Linked DNA regions of Caenorhabditis elegans. The protein of the gene in region 3 interacts with the protein of the main gene of each other region in a pairwise test. Each region holds a gene or a part of one and is shown on either strand. Other genes may lie near its edges.

The links.
Region 1: the proteins of gna-1 (region 3) and acly-2 interact in a two-hybrid assay, tested with the Caenorhabditis elegans proteins (one large-scale study listed by BioGRID).
Region 2: the proteins of gna-1 (region 3) and C06E2.1 interact in a two-hybrid assay, tested with the Caenorhabditis elegans proteins (one large-scale study listed by BioGRID).

What each region holds. Positions count from the first base shown.
Region 1 is NC_003283.11:13,114,865-13,120,696, reverse strand, and holds acly-2 (ATP-citrate synthase), read right to left. Parts: upstream 4,210-5,832; 5' UTR 4,190-4,209; coding exon 4,151-4,189; intron 4,103-4,150; coding exon 3,701-4,102; intron 3,657-3,700; coding exon 2,730-3,656; intron 2,684-2,729; coding exon 1,427-2,683; intron 1,382-1,426; coding exon 1,082-1,381; intron 1,032-1,081; coding exon 657-1,031; 3' UTR 565-656; downstream 1-564.
Region 2 is NC_003284.9:8,872,400-8,876,737, forward strand, and holds C06E2.1 (GYF domain-containing protein), read right to left. Parts: upstream 2,450-4,338; 5' UTR 2,378-2,449; coding exon 2,363-2,377; intron 2,191-2,362; coding exon 2,138-2,190; intron 2,062-2,137; coding exon 1,931-2,061; intron 1,841-1,930; coding exon 1,607-1,840; intron 1,201-1,606; coding exon 1,094-1,200; intron 1,043-1,093; coding exon 959-1,042; intron 913-958; coding exon 691-912; 3' UTR 534-690; downstream 1-533.
Region 3 is NC_003283.11:10,319,091-10,322,107, reverse strand, and holds gna-1 (Glucosamine 6-phosphate N-acetyltransferase), read left to right. Parts: upstream 1-1,956; coding exon 1,957-2,454; downstream 2,455-3,017. Other genes in the region: srdf-3 (Polyprenal reductase), read right to left, coding at 1-15, 64-329, 376-567, 992-1,140, 1,191-1,390; Putative pseudouridine synthase B0024.11, read left to right, coding at 2,574-2,682, 2,733-3,017.

The DNA.
Region 1 (5,832 bases), 2.8 Mb from region 3:
TCAACTTCATCTCGCAACTAACATTGATAATTGTATTTAAAAGTGCAACCAATAAAATATTCTCAAGTCGACTGGATACGTACGTCTCCAGAATTTATAAGCGGGTTACCATGGAGATGTGAACGAAGGGAACATGAAGATGCAGAATGAAGGACCAACGGCTTCATATTTCTCAATTCGAATTGTTGGGTGATAAAGAAAAGCCCCCTTTTTTCTGAAACATTTCAAAATGTCCTTTATTATAAAACTTTGAAACATTTTGAGTGATTCATCCATCATATTTTCTGCTGATTTACTTACGCAGCCATCAAGCCGAATCGTTTCCCATCTGCACGATTCCGTCAAAAATCCGTTAATTAGAGGGTTGGCAATAAAATGGCTTGACAGATGTCACACACCATTTTAGAAGCTTTCTTTGTCTCACTGACTGTCTGACTGCCCTCTGCTTCCTATCGTTATTGTTGCACAACATCTGCCACTCCACAAAGCTAAGCGTTTTCTATCATTTTTTCCCGCAAATTCTAAATTTATTTTCTGATGATTTTGAAATTTGAAACTCAATAAATCAATGTACAGTTTATTCCTACTTTTGGCAATTTTGGGATGCATTAAAAAGGTAAGTGAATAGGGTGAAGTGGGGGAAGTGATAATCAAATTCACAAGTTTCTCTCTGGCATGATGTATGAAATGTCATCCCAAGGATGACGGTAGAGTCCTTGTTTGAGTCGTGATTGGTCCAAATAATGTCCGATGAATCCGATGGAGCGACCGAGCACAAACATTCCATTCAGAGCACCTATCTCGATAACTTCTTGAGCTTCAGCTGTTGTGAACATCCCACTGTTGCGCAAGATGTCGACGAAGATGATGGCAATAGCTCCATCAACATTTAGAATGAGGTTTGGCTTCTTGGCAGTGGTGATCTTCTCAACTTCCAGAGCATAATCGAGAAGTGGTGTTTCTTGAGCAAACTCCTTTTTGTTCAAAGCAAATCTCTTGAGAATCTCGACACGCTTATCAGGGTTATTGATCTGAAATTATTTCATCAATTATCAAAAAACTGTATTTTCTTGAAACTCACGCTCTTGACACGATGGCCGATACCCATAATATGAGTTCCACGTTTGCGCATTTCTCCGACAAACTGATTTGGAGACCACCCTTGATCGAAAGCCTCAGAGAATTGACGAGCAGCTCCATCGAGAGCACCTCCGAATCGGTCACCGATGGTGAGGAGTCCAGATGTGAGAGAAGATATCAAGTCCTTTCCAGCGCGAGCACAGACGATAGTATTATGAGCACCAGAAACTGCTGGTCCGTGATCAGCAGTGAGCATCAAACAGATCTCTATGAACTTGTTGGCATGTGGAGGGAGACGTTTCTGAAAAAGGAAAATATACAAGGCAAATTAGATTTTTTTTTGAACCTGGAACCACAGCAAGCCTAGAACTCCACCGATTCCCATATCCGACTCGAGGACTTTGGTGATTGGGACGCCAGCATAGTTCAATTCTTCTCCGCGTTCGTCACAAATAGAGGTCATGAAGGAAGCTGGTTTGCGAATAAGCCCGAGTTCCCGAGCCCAGGCATAGTCCATTGGAACTGCAGGTGGTGGAACTTCCGGCTGTGGAACGATGATTTCAAGTCGAAGCAATTCTTCATAAGTCTGACGAATCTTGTTTCCGAGGTCGTCAAACGAATCTGGAACCAAAGCACCAGCAGTACGAAGAGCTGTATTTTTGCATGCAGCAGTTTCTCCTTGTCCATTTGCAGAAGCTCCAGCATGACCGAACTGAACTTCTGAAGTAATGTGATCTGCACATGTTCCAATGCACCAAGCAATGAGAGGCTTCGTGATTTTCTTTTCTTTCAATAGCTCGACAATACGATATTCTTCTATACCTCCAACTTCTCCAAGGAGGACAATCATCTTAACACGATCATCGTGTTGATATCTCATAACGTGGTCGGTGTACGTACTTCCTGGATAGCGATCCCCTCCGATAGCAATTCCTTCGTAAACTCCGTTGGTATTCTGTGAAATAATGTTGTTGAGCTCGTTCGACATTCCTCCTGAGCGGGACACGTAAGCGACACTTCCAGGACGATAAAGTTTCGAAGCAAGAATATTATCCATCATTCCTCCGGTATTTCCGATCTTGAAACATCCTGGCTTGATTCCTCCAACAGTAGCAGGACCAATTAAGGTAACACCCTTATCTTCAGCAATTTTAAGCAATTTTCTTGTTTGATTTTCTGGAACTCCTTCGGCAATAATTGCGATAACCTTGATTTGTGTAAATTGAAGAGCCTCCAGAACAGTTTCAAAAACTGAACGCATCGACGCGAACGTGACCATGACAGTGGCATCTGGATGACTCGCGAAAGCTTTTGCCATAGATTTGTAAGCAGGAATAAGGATTTCTTTCTGTCCGAAATAATACTTTTGCTTGTTGTCTCCAGTGAACGGATAGGTTGAAGCGACGACTGATGGGGAGTGTCTTCTGCAAACAAAATCGAAATCAAGCATTCCTTGAATAGCTTTGTGTTGTTGTCCCCAAATGATAGCCTTTGTGTCGTTCTCGAACAAGCTTTGATGAAGAGGGTGCCTCTTGGCGAGAGGATGTTCGATTGTGGAAGTGTTCGGAGCTGGAGATGCTGGAGGACGTTCCGTGCCTGCAGTCTGAAAACAAAAACTAAATTATTTCCTATGAATAATTAGAACATACGTTTCTTTCTGGGCTCAACAAAAATTGTCCGGTGGTTTGAGGAGCCGTCGGGACTGTTGGCATTGGCTTCAATCCGAGCGCAGCTCCGACAATTGCAGTCATATGAGTTTCCGGTCCAAATACATAAATCGGAATTTCTAGTTTTGTGGCAGCATCCTTGACACGTCGCAGTCCTTCTTGGTAGTTCGGACCACCACGTCGAACGTAGATGGAAACATTATGTTCCTTGAGCTTATCAATGAAAGTTTCGAACGCACGAACGATTCCTCCGAATGTTTTTGCGACATTTGTGAAGTTAGCAATGGATCCACCAATGATGAGAACCTTACCATCAGGACGTGGAGCACCTTCTGTCATGACGGATAAAATAGTCTTGGCGTACTCGTAAGTTTGAGCTTCCGATGGATCTCCAGAATATTCTCCGTAGTTAGCAAGTTCAGATGATCCTCCAAGATCACAAACAGTATCGGTAAACACAACTGATGCTCCTCCACCAGCCACCATGGTCCATACGCGTCCCTTTCTGTTAAGAATAGTCAGCTTCAAAGATGCTCCAGTCTTCGCATCCATATCAGAAATGTATTGCTCCTCCGAAGTCAAATCACGTCCAAATGGTGCCGGGAACTCCAGAGTCGGAGCGATTCGTGCAGAAGCATTCCGACCGCTCCATTTATCCGAGCACAGAAAACTGGCAGTCTCGTCAAGCTTTGCAGCCAAGTCCAAAATATGAATCTTGCCATTGGTGAGAACAAACGGATTGATCTCCAAGTATGTGAAGTGAAGAGCTTTGTAGGCTTCGTATAAGCTGCGAACGAACTTTCGGATATCATCCTTATCACTACATGGCCCGAGAAGCACGCCTAGTTCTCTCTCCGAAATTGACATAGCATTGTCATCAAGTTGAACTGGAACATGGACTGATCTGGCCTGAAAATATGAAAATTTTTGAGAAATAATTACCTACTACAAACCTTTTCCTCGACGTCTCCAATATCAACTCCTCCCTGCTCATAGAACATAATAACATCGCGACAGCGTTCGCTGTAGATCGCGATGTACATTTCTTCATTTTCAGTATGAGCACAAAACGGCTCAACAATAAACGTGTGCAATCTTCCCTCCGTTTGGCCAACTTTCACATAACTGTTTGCCGTCTTGCCGAACCAAGCTTCCAGCTCTTTAGGAGACCCAATCTTAACAAGACCGAGCTTTCCACGACGCTTGATAAGCTGATCCGGCTTGATAACACCCTTGTTGTCTTGTGCAAGCCATTCGTACTTGGCGGCGACGTCAGAAAACTTATCTCCGGCCTTCACGTGAAAAGCATGTGGGGCACTGACAATTCCGGTCGACTCGAAATATTTGTACAAAACCTGCAATTGTTTTTGTAAATCAATCGAATAAAAAATAAAGCTTCATACCTCTTTTCCTGAGAGTTCGCTGACAGCTTTAGCCGACATATCAGTATGGGTGTAATAACCTGAAAATGGACAGTGTTTAATGGAAAACCGGCAAAGTCACGGATATATTGCGTAACAGACGGATGAAATAGAAGAGAAACAGATAGAAATCATTCGAAAAAAGGAGGATTGTGATGCAAGACGACACGCGGTGGCCTACAAAACAGAAAAAGTGCGCTCCTTGTAGCGGCGGAGGCGCTCGAGATCGAGATCAAACCGAATTTATACATATGAGAAAAAGATTTATCGAAAAAGTAGAGAAAAAGAACACTCTCTGGCGTTGACATTTGCATTTTTATTCAAATTCAATATATTTCACTTGTTGACAAGCCGAATAGGGAAAAAACGGTTGAGAAATTATTTGAAACTTGATTTCAGAAATTATTAAATAAATAAAGAAGAAAATCTATAGAATAGCTTCGAGGGAAGATTGTTTTAATTTAAGGTTTTCTATATTCTGAAATTTCAAAAAAAAAAAAAGTTTTAAAACATTTTCCGACGGCTCTGCAGTCACCATTACGACATATTGCAGAAACTACGGTATCCAATACAGTAAGCTTCTAAAGAGACCCGAAGAACTCGGGGGATGTCCAACTGGGGGGATTACTAACTCGGGGGATTGGCCCCGCCCACAGAACCGTGGCTTGCAATACGCCCATTTCTGCAACTGCCGCACGGTTTTAAAACTGTATTTTTATCAATAGAGCGAGGATTAACAAGAAAAAATGATTTTAAAACCGTGCGGCAGTTGCAGAAATGGGCGTATTGCAAGCCACGGTTCTGTGGGCGGGGCAAATCCCCCGAGTTGGTAATCCCCCCAATTGGACATCCCCCGAGTTCTTCGGGTCTCCTTCTGAAGCTTGAAAGAAGCTTCCCTTAGTGAAACTACAATTTGAAAAAACTGAAAATCAACCTACATCTAGCTAATACATTTTAGACCCCAAATATTTACGCACATGCATCAAAAATACATCATAATTTCGCGCAACTTTGGCTAGGCAGTTTAAAGGCGCAAACTGACTGTTTCTAGTGGGTCTCGCCACGATCTCAGTCATAGTGGTTTCTTCAAGTGCCAAATTTTACAAGTTTGTTAATTTGATGTTTAAAAATCCAGGATTAATTATCGAATGGGCGATAAAGGGGAAATACTGCTGAAAATTGCAGACTTTCCAGAAATCCAATGTCTAGGGACATATGTCCTCTTTTCTTTTTGTAATGTCTCGAAGCCGAAACGAGGAGAAACTCTTTATACATAACTTGTACAATACGAAATGGATATATAATAATTGGAGTTCCAATACTACGAATTTCTTGTCACCGGGGTCATGTACTTGTTTCCCACATTTTCATTTCGAATAAACAAAAAAGAACAGAAACAAAACAATTCTAACTTTTGTTTTACTAATCCACTAATCCTCAAAACATTTCATAGTTGCGGAATCGTTTTGGTTTGCTCCTCCGCGGGCTCTCCGAATACTTACTCGCATAAGTTTCCTGTTTTGCTCATGTCCTTGAGCACACGTATTTATTTCTATGTGAATGTGCATACGGGCGGTCCTAAAGATGAGGAATAAGTAGGCATTGTAATTTGAGCTAAAGAAGAAGAAGAAGAAGTCTAGCTCTCTATTCGAACGCCATTTACT
Region 2 (4,338 bases), on a different chromosome or scaffold from region 3:
CGTTATTTTTTGCTAGAAAGAAGTTGTTTAACAATTATTCGAGAATCACCACTTTTCTTTTTTTTATGCAGCAATTTTCATCCGGTTTCATTTTTTCATGATCGTAAGTTTTCTATCACCCCGGGTGAACCTTTTATTTAGATCTTTTAGTCAATTTTTTCTGGCTTAAATGCACATTTCCTAGCGCGTCATTCACCGCTTTTCTCTTTGAACTTTTCTTCAAGTCTACGACGTATAAAAAATATTACTTTTTGTTTAGTTTTTAACAGCAGCAGCGGACGGATATCTAGCTTCGCGATGCAAAACTATACTCCTCGTATTTATTGTATGCGTCTATATTTCGTACAACAGAAGACCACAATACAATTTTTTTAAAAATTAAATCCAAATTATTTTGTTGGTAATTTGTTGCCAGTAAATGATGAAAATCAAGGTTTTCTGTAACTGAAAAAATATTGAATTTGGTTAAATCCAATTTTAAACGAAAAAGTAATTATTATGTTTAATTGTTTTTACAGTTTCTGAAATAAGTTATCAATTTACAGTTTTATTTTCCAATAGTTGTCGACAACACGGAAACGAAAACATAAAAAAAAAGAAAATGAGCAAAATATTGCTCATTGATGATTTGAGATCATTTACGGTCACATAAAACATATGAACTGATAAACTCTGTTGAAAGATGGGTAATCATTGTAAAGGAAGTGAAACTCCTGGATAAAAGTTTACGGAATTGAAGCTGGGATTCCAGTCAAATTGGTGGCCAGGAAAATCAGGACTGTTTGCAGAAATTTTGCTCATCATTCTTGCCAGTTTTCTTTCAAATGTGTATCTCTTCACGTCCTCAAAAAGTTTCCGAAGTTTCAAATAATCGAATTCAATTGTAAACGCTCGGCTGCATTTTACAATTGCCTGGAAATTATCTCATGTTGAATAAGGATTAAAAAAGTATACTTACATTTTCTAAATGTATCAAAGACAGAGCATGTATCAAATATGAATGAGCATCTTCCATAACTTTTTGGCAAACGTCACAAACTCTCTGAACATAAACACGTGATAGAAATAGAAAGAAGGTGAAGAAAAAACCCACCGGTGAAAACACTTCGGTTAGAAGAATGTGCAGAAGACTTCTTTCGTCAGGCTCAAGATTACTGTAGTCCATGAGAATACGTCTAGCAAGTTCAACAACAGATGAGACTGAAATAATTAAAATGTCAATTCTGGTTTTTTAAGGATTTTTAGTGTGTAGATACATAGTAAGATTCTTTTAGTATGCTGGTACATACCGTATAGTTTCTATAAGTATTACGTATCATTTTTCAATCTTGGCAGTTTGTACTTAAAAACTTTACAAGTGAAATAAAATATGTGTTAGTTATTTTTCTATAGAGTTAATAATTAATTGATACTTTCAAATGAAAGGAGATATAATTTTTTAAATGAAGTAGTTGGGTGCAATACCAATAGAGAATATACGGTTGTAAGCTTTTCTTGGTATGTAAATACACTTTTTCGACAAAAAACGTCTTTAATGTTTTTACATGTTCTAAGAAACTAAACATGCATCTAACCATACGATATCTTGTTATCAATTAAAACTCACGTGGTAAAACATGCTCCTCGGCTACATCTCCTCTGAACCCAGTGACAAAAGGACAATAGCTCGACGTCGATAAATTATTCAGGAAAGTTGATAAGTTAAATGTTATAAAAGTGTTAGATTCATATTTATACAGTGCTGGATTGGGATGTACTTCAGGCAACGTCCACTTCCCCTTGAATTGCGATAGGCGCTTTGGTAGGAAATCTTGGGTGCCGAAAATATCTTGAAGGTCTTCTGTAAATCAAATGGAAAATTGCTTCGGACATTTTCTGAGGTTGATTGATTGTTTATATCTTCAGACAATAGCAAACTTGTAAAACTCACGTATTGTTCCGAACCATTCCAAGAATCCCGTAGCGCCTTTTTTGCGGGACTCGGTTATTTGAATTCTAGTGGGGAACTTTAGTTTGCCTTCCAGGTAAAATTTGAAGACCGCTTCTGCTGCATACGGACCGCTGAAAAACATAAAAAATCACTCAAGAATTATTTTTTTAATTTTGTAAAAATAAAGGACGTTTTAAAATTACTTACTAAATGCTCCCGTTGTACTGCCAGACGTTGTAGATGAGATCACAGTCTTGGATCTGAATACCATATGGATAATGTTTTCTCGCTCTAGTTCTATTCATTAGTGTGTAATATATACCGAAAAGACAGGCACAAACACACTAGGTGTAAATCTCAAGTATCCCGTTGAAATGAGCTGCGTTTCCATAGAAACGCAGCTGCACGGGATGCGCTAATCTCAGAACTCACACCAGAATTTGACATTTTTTAAATGTTGTGGACAACGACACCAGGAAGCGGAAGTAACAGATTTTATAGATTATATGTCCTCACTACCTGGAAATAAAGTACATTTCGAGAATAAAAAAGAATTACAAAAAAAGAAGTAGAAGAAACAATAAAAAAAAAGTAAAGAGTAGTGTCAGAATTGAAAAGAGTCGAGCCAGTGTTGGAAAAACAAAATACTACTGTTACAAATATGCCAAATCACATTGAAAAACTTTTCAACACTTCTTTGAACTACCGTAGTTTCTCTAATATTATAGTAATTTATGAAATGCTAATTTTTGAAAAATGTTTACCTAAAATAGTTTTCAGAAACTACTCTAATTATGTTTTGATTATTTGAATTTGATATATTCTACGTGTTAAAACGTGCAAAACAGTTCTGAATTTCTTAATTAGTTGCATTAATACAGAATAGCTGGGATACATTTCGCATGGACAAAAAATAAAACATTCGAAATTTAAGCAACACTAATTAATTTTAATGTAACAAATAAGAGTGTATTCTGAAGTTTTGCTAACAAAATATTGTGCCGAATTCCCCAAAAAAAAGCCCTTCTATAACTTAGCAGTGTTATTTGTCTTTAACTTTGTTTTTGGTAACAGATATTCCCAAAAACCCTAAAACTCTAAAACGATTCATTTGTAGAAACATTTTGCCCAGTTTTGATGAATATTTGGATTGATAATAATGAATGAGGACAATTTTTAAATTCTTACAACTTGCTTATTTTGAATAAGAAAAGCGAAACATGTTAATTGCCTAGATTTTCACCCAAAAATAGAAATAATTCGTTAAATTGGAGCACCATTTTCGTTAAGCTAAACAGTCTAATTTTAATGATCTAACTTATTTTTCTTTTAAAAAAAAGTACTTTTAGTAGTATGGGTAAGTAGTTTCATGTTTATGTAAAAATAAGCGTGAGCATTTGTCACAGGTCCTCGAAATGTTTATGCTCATTTTGGAAACATCAATAATTTTTTTTTCACAGTGGATATTGAATTTTCAAAGGTCTTCTGCAAAATATTGAGGTATTATGAAAGGACTACTCACAAAATAACAAATTTTCTCACCGGAAAAGTTGACCGAATATTACAACAAAACCACAGTCGGCAATGAATATCTTTAGATTTTATCTAAAAAGGTATTGGTAGAAAGATTCGATTGAACTGACAACAAAAAAAAATGAAAAAGAAGGATTGGGAATGGTGGTGAAGAAGAATGATAAATGCCGCCAGATCGTCAGCATCTTCTCAAGGACAGAATCGTCTGGCCAACATGAATTTTCCATGCCGCTTCTTTTATCTCGGAGTGTGTGTATGTGTATGAGGGCGGGGGGCAAAAAGAAAACAAAACTCGTTTTTTTTCAATGGGACACAAATTTACAGCATTGACTGTCTGAAAAGAAATTGGCAGCGATGTTCGCTTTTTGTTCACAAAACGTTTTATCACGAAAAAAACGGACTGTCTATTTTTTAGAAAAACTGAGCTGCATAAAATATATGTTCACTTTTGACGGATATTACACAAAACACATTTCAAAATAATCAAGAATTTTTAATTTTCTAAGCCGGTTTACCAAGATTACATTAATTTTCCAAAAAAAAAGAATTGTTGCTCTAAATTAAACCGAAAACACTTTTTCAGAGTTTTAAGCGTTCTACTGTTCAAAATTTTATTTAGCTAATCATTAGCTTAGCAACATTGATTAAGTTGAGGAAAGGTGAACATTCATTGTAAAAAATTACGTAAAGCCGGATGTAAAACAATTAGAAAACGATACAGCGGAGTAGCAAATGCTCTTGCTGTTGTAACACGGGGTGTTTTGAAAATGACTTGGTTTGAAAGTTTCAGTAATTACGGTTTCATTCGTTACTTGTGTTTTATATTCCCGAAATATTAAATTAGAATTTTTAAGTTATACAAAATGAAAACGTGT
Region 3 (3,017 bases):
GAACATGATTATGAACTGAAACGGATTTTTTTAGAAGAAAAACGGATGAAACTGACAACTTACTCTATACACGTAGGCATCAGGAATTACAAGAAAAAGTGACAAGTAGATGCATATCTCGAATAGAAAGTGAGGACATGAGACGAGATTGAACCAACCACCAAAGCAGATACCATAGGCGTAATTGCGAATTAGTCCTCTAGGACCTTTTCTTGTATTTGCTATTTGTTCGGCTAGCTGATGTTGTTTCCAATTGCAAATCCAAAAAAGGACAGCTCCAGCCCATTGGGTGAGAGAAATATCATCAATTGACACGTGAAGCTGAGGTACTGTGAAAATAAATTACTAGAACATTTCAGATAAGTATCTTCTTACATTTGGAAGCAACTCCCTGTGTTTCACACATAATTGAAATTGGCAGAATGATGTAGTGGACTATCCCAACTGCATAGTGAAACAAGTTCATACGACTGTCCGAGTAAACACTGACAAATATTGTTTCATAGAGACGTCGTGCTACGTGAAGGCTTATGAGCAGGAGAGCCAAGATTGATGTGCTTGGGGTAACTGAAAACATATTTATTTCAACTTAAAAGTGTATAATATGATATTCTAATCAAATTTCTAATTTCTGAAAATTTGAGTCAAAGTTTTGGTAATTTGCCAAATGGTATTTATCTATTTTTAAATTTACGAAACGTTTGAAGTTTTTGAAAAATTTAAAGCAACACCACATGTTTGAAGCCCTACAGTGATTACATAAAATATTTGAAACATTATTAAAATATAACATTTGTAGAATACAATATTTTTGTTGTTTTACAAAATTGAGTAATAGACACTTTTTGACTGAAAATAAAAAGTTTAAGTTCTACTGAAAATTGAAAACAATGAAATTAATACAACTGCGTCGCGACTTCGCATATATTCCAAAAACCACTAATCAAAAAAAAAAAAAGAAAATCACTTTTTTTTTAAAAGAAAAACTTACTTGGTGGTATACTGTAGGATCGTGTTAGCGTGGCAAGAATCTTGAGAACCACTGGATGCAGATAATTAGGATTGTAGATTAACGAGTGGACAGTGTGTAGACATATAAAAAGTGTTAGAAGACCGATTGCGTAAAAATGCTTAAACCATCTGAAAAATTTCAGACAAGGATAGAACTCCCAAAGACTAACTGTACTCACTTTTTAGGTACAGATATTTTTTCTACCAAAGAGTTATCTTCTTGTTGATCAGCAGCTTTTCCATATGTAGTTAGTGCAGGTATCAATCGACAAACGTGAGGACATATGAGAGTAAAACAACATGAAATGGCAAGTCCAAGCGTAGATACTAACAGATAAAGGGGCAGTGCTTGGCGCACTTCCCAAAGTCTATCTAACATTCTGAAATGAATAATTGTATAGAAAAATCAATGGACACAGAAAAATAAAGTCAAAAACGGAAACAAGAAGAAAAGAGCGGAAATGAGTAATGGAAACATTTTTGGACGAGGGAGGAGCCGACGCAGAGTTTCTTTTTCTGAGGAGAGAATACGCCAAACGAGTGCAGCTGCAAGTGTGTAAGTGCGCGATGAGAAAGTAAATAGAAAAACCAATGGCAGATACTGGGCAGTTGGAGTTTTGAAAAAAAAATAAAGAAAAAAAGAAGTAAAACGTTTTCTTTTGATTTCACAGGTCGTTCAATGTAAAATGTTTCTAAAATGTTTGTCCGAGAGGAGTACATGGCCGAGAGAACGCGTGGCCGTGGCCTAGTTCTAGGAACAATTTTAAACGTTGATTTATTTATTTTTTGCGTCGATTTGGAACAAATCTCCGCATCGTTCGAGTTATAATTTCTCTCCTTATTTTAATTTTCATTTTTTCAAATATTTAGCAAGCTGCGCTAGATTCCTCCTAAGTTTTTCTCATTCGTTCGAACGATTTGTCATCACTTTTCTTCAGAGAAAATATGTCTCACATTTTTGATGCGTCTGTGTTAGCTCCACACATTCCTTCGAATCTTCCTGACAATTTTAAAGTTCGTCCCTTGGCAAAAGACGATTTCTCGAAAGGATATGTTGATCTTCTGAGTCAGTTGACTTCGGTCGGAAATCTTGATCAGGAAGCATTTGAAAAGCGATTTGAGGCGATGAGGACCTCGGTCCCCAATTATCATATAGTCGTCATCGAAGATTCCAATTCTCAAAAAGTTGTTGCATCTGCCAGTTTGGTTGTCGAAATGAAGTTCATTCACGGGGCAGGAAGTCGCGGAAGGGTTGAAGATGTTGTCGTGGATACTGAAATGCGTCGTCAAAAATTAGGAGCCGTTCTTTTGAAGACTCTTGTTTCTCTTGGAAAGTCTCTCGGAGTTTACAAAATTTCTCTCGAGTGTGTTCCTGAACTTCTCCCATTCTACTCACAATTCGGGTTCCAGGACGATTGCAATTTTATGACTCAGCGCTTCTAAATTTCACACGTTAATTCATTGATTATTCTGCTAATGGGGTCTTGTAATATGGTTTTTACGCATAATTTGTTTTATCGTTTGGTCTGATTTCTTTCATGTATTTATTGAATAAAGTTTAGATGGAAACCGAATTTGGATTGACCGAGTATGCCAGTGAGCATACAATCACTCCTGTGCCCTGCCTACTGAAAGAAATGTACAGTGACTTCATCGTTCAAGAAATTTTAGGTTATTTAATCAAACTCAATTAATGTTACTAGAATTAATTTTATTTTCAGCCGACCACACAGTTTTGGCCATTCCATCGCCAGATGTTGTCCTAGAAAGTACTGGGTCCAAAAAAGAAGACATTGAGATCGAAGAGTGTGTTGCTAAGCCAGATTGCATCTCAGAAGAGACATTAGCTGCATTAAATGACCGATTCTCTACGAAAGGAGATCCCGTTCTTGTAAAAGTTGACGATTTGAGCAAGGAAGATCGAAAAAGCATTCATCATTTCATTAGAGAGCGGTATGCTGGAGTTTTAATCACCGAAACGAAGGAAGATGGAATTCTGGTATCTC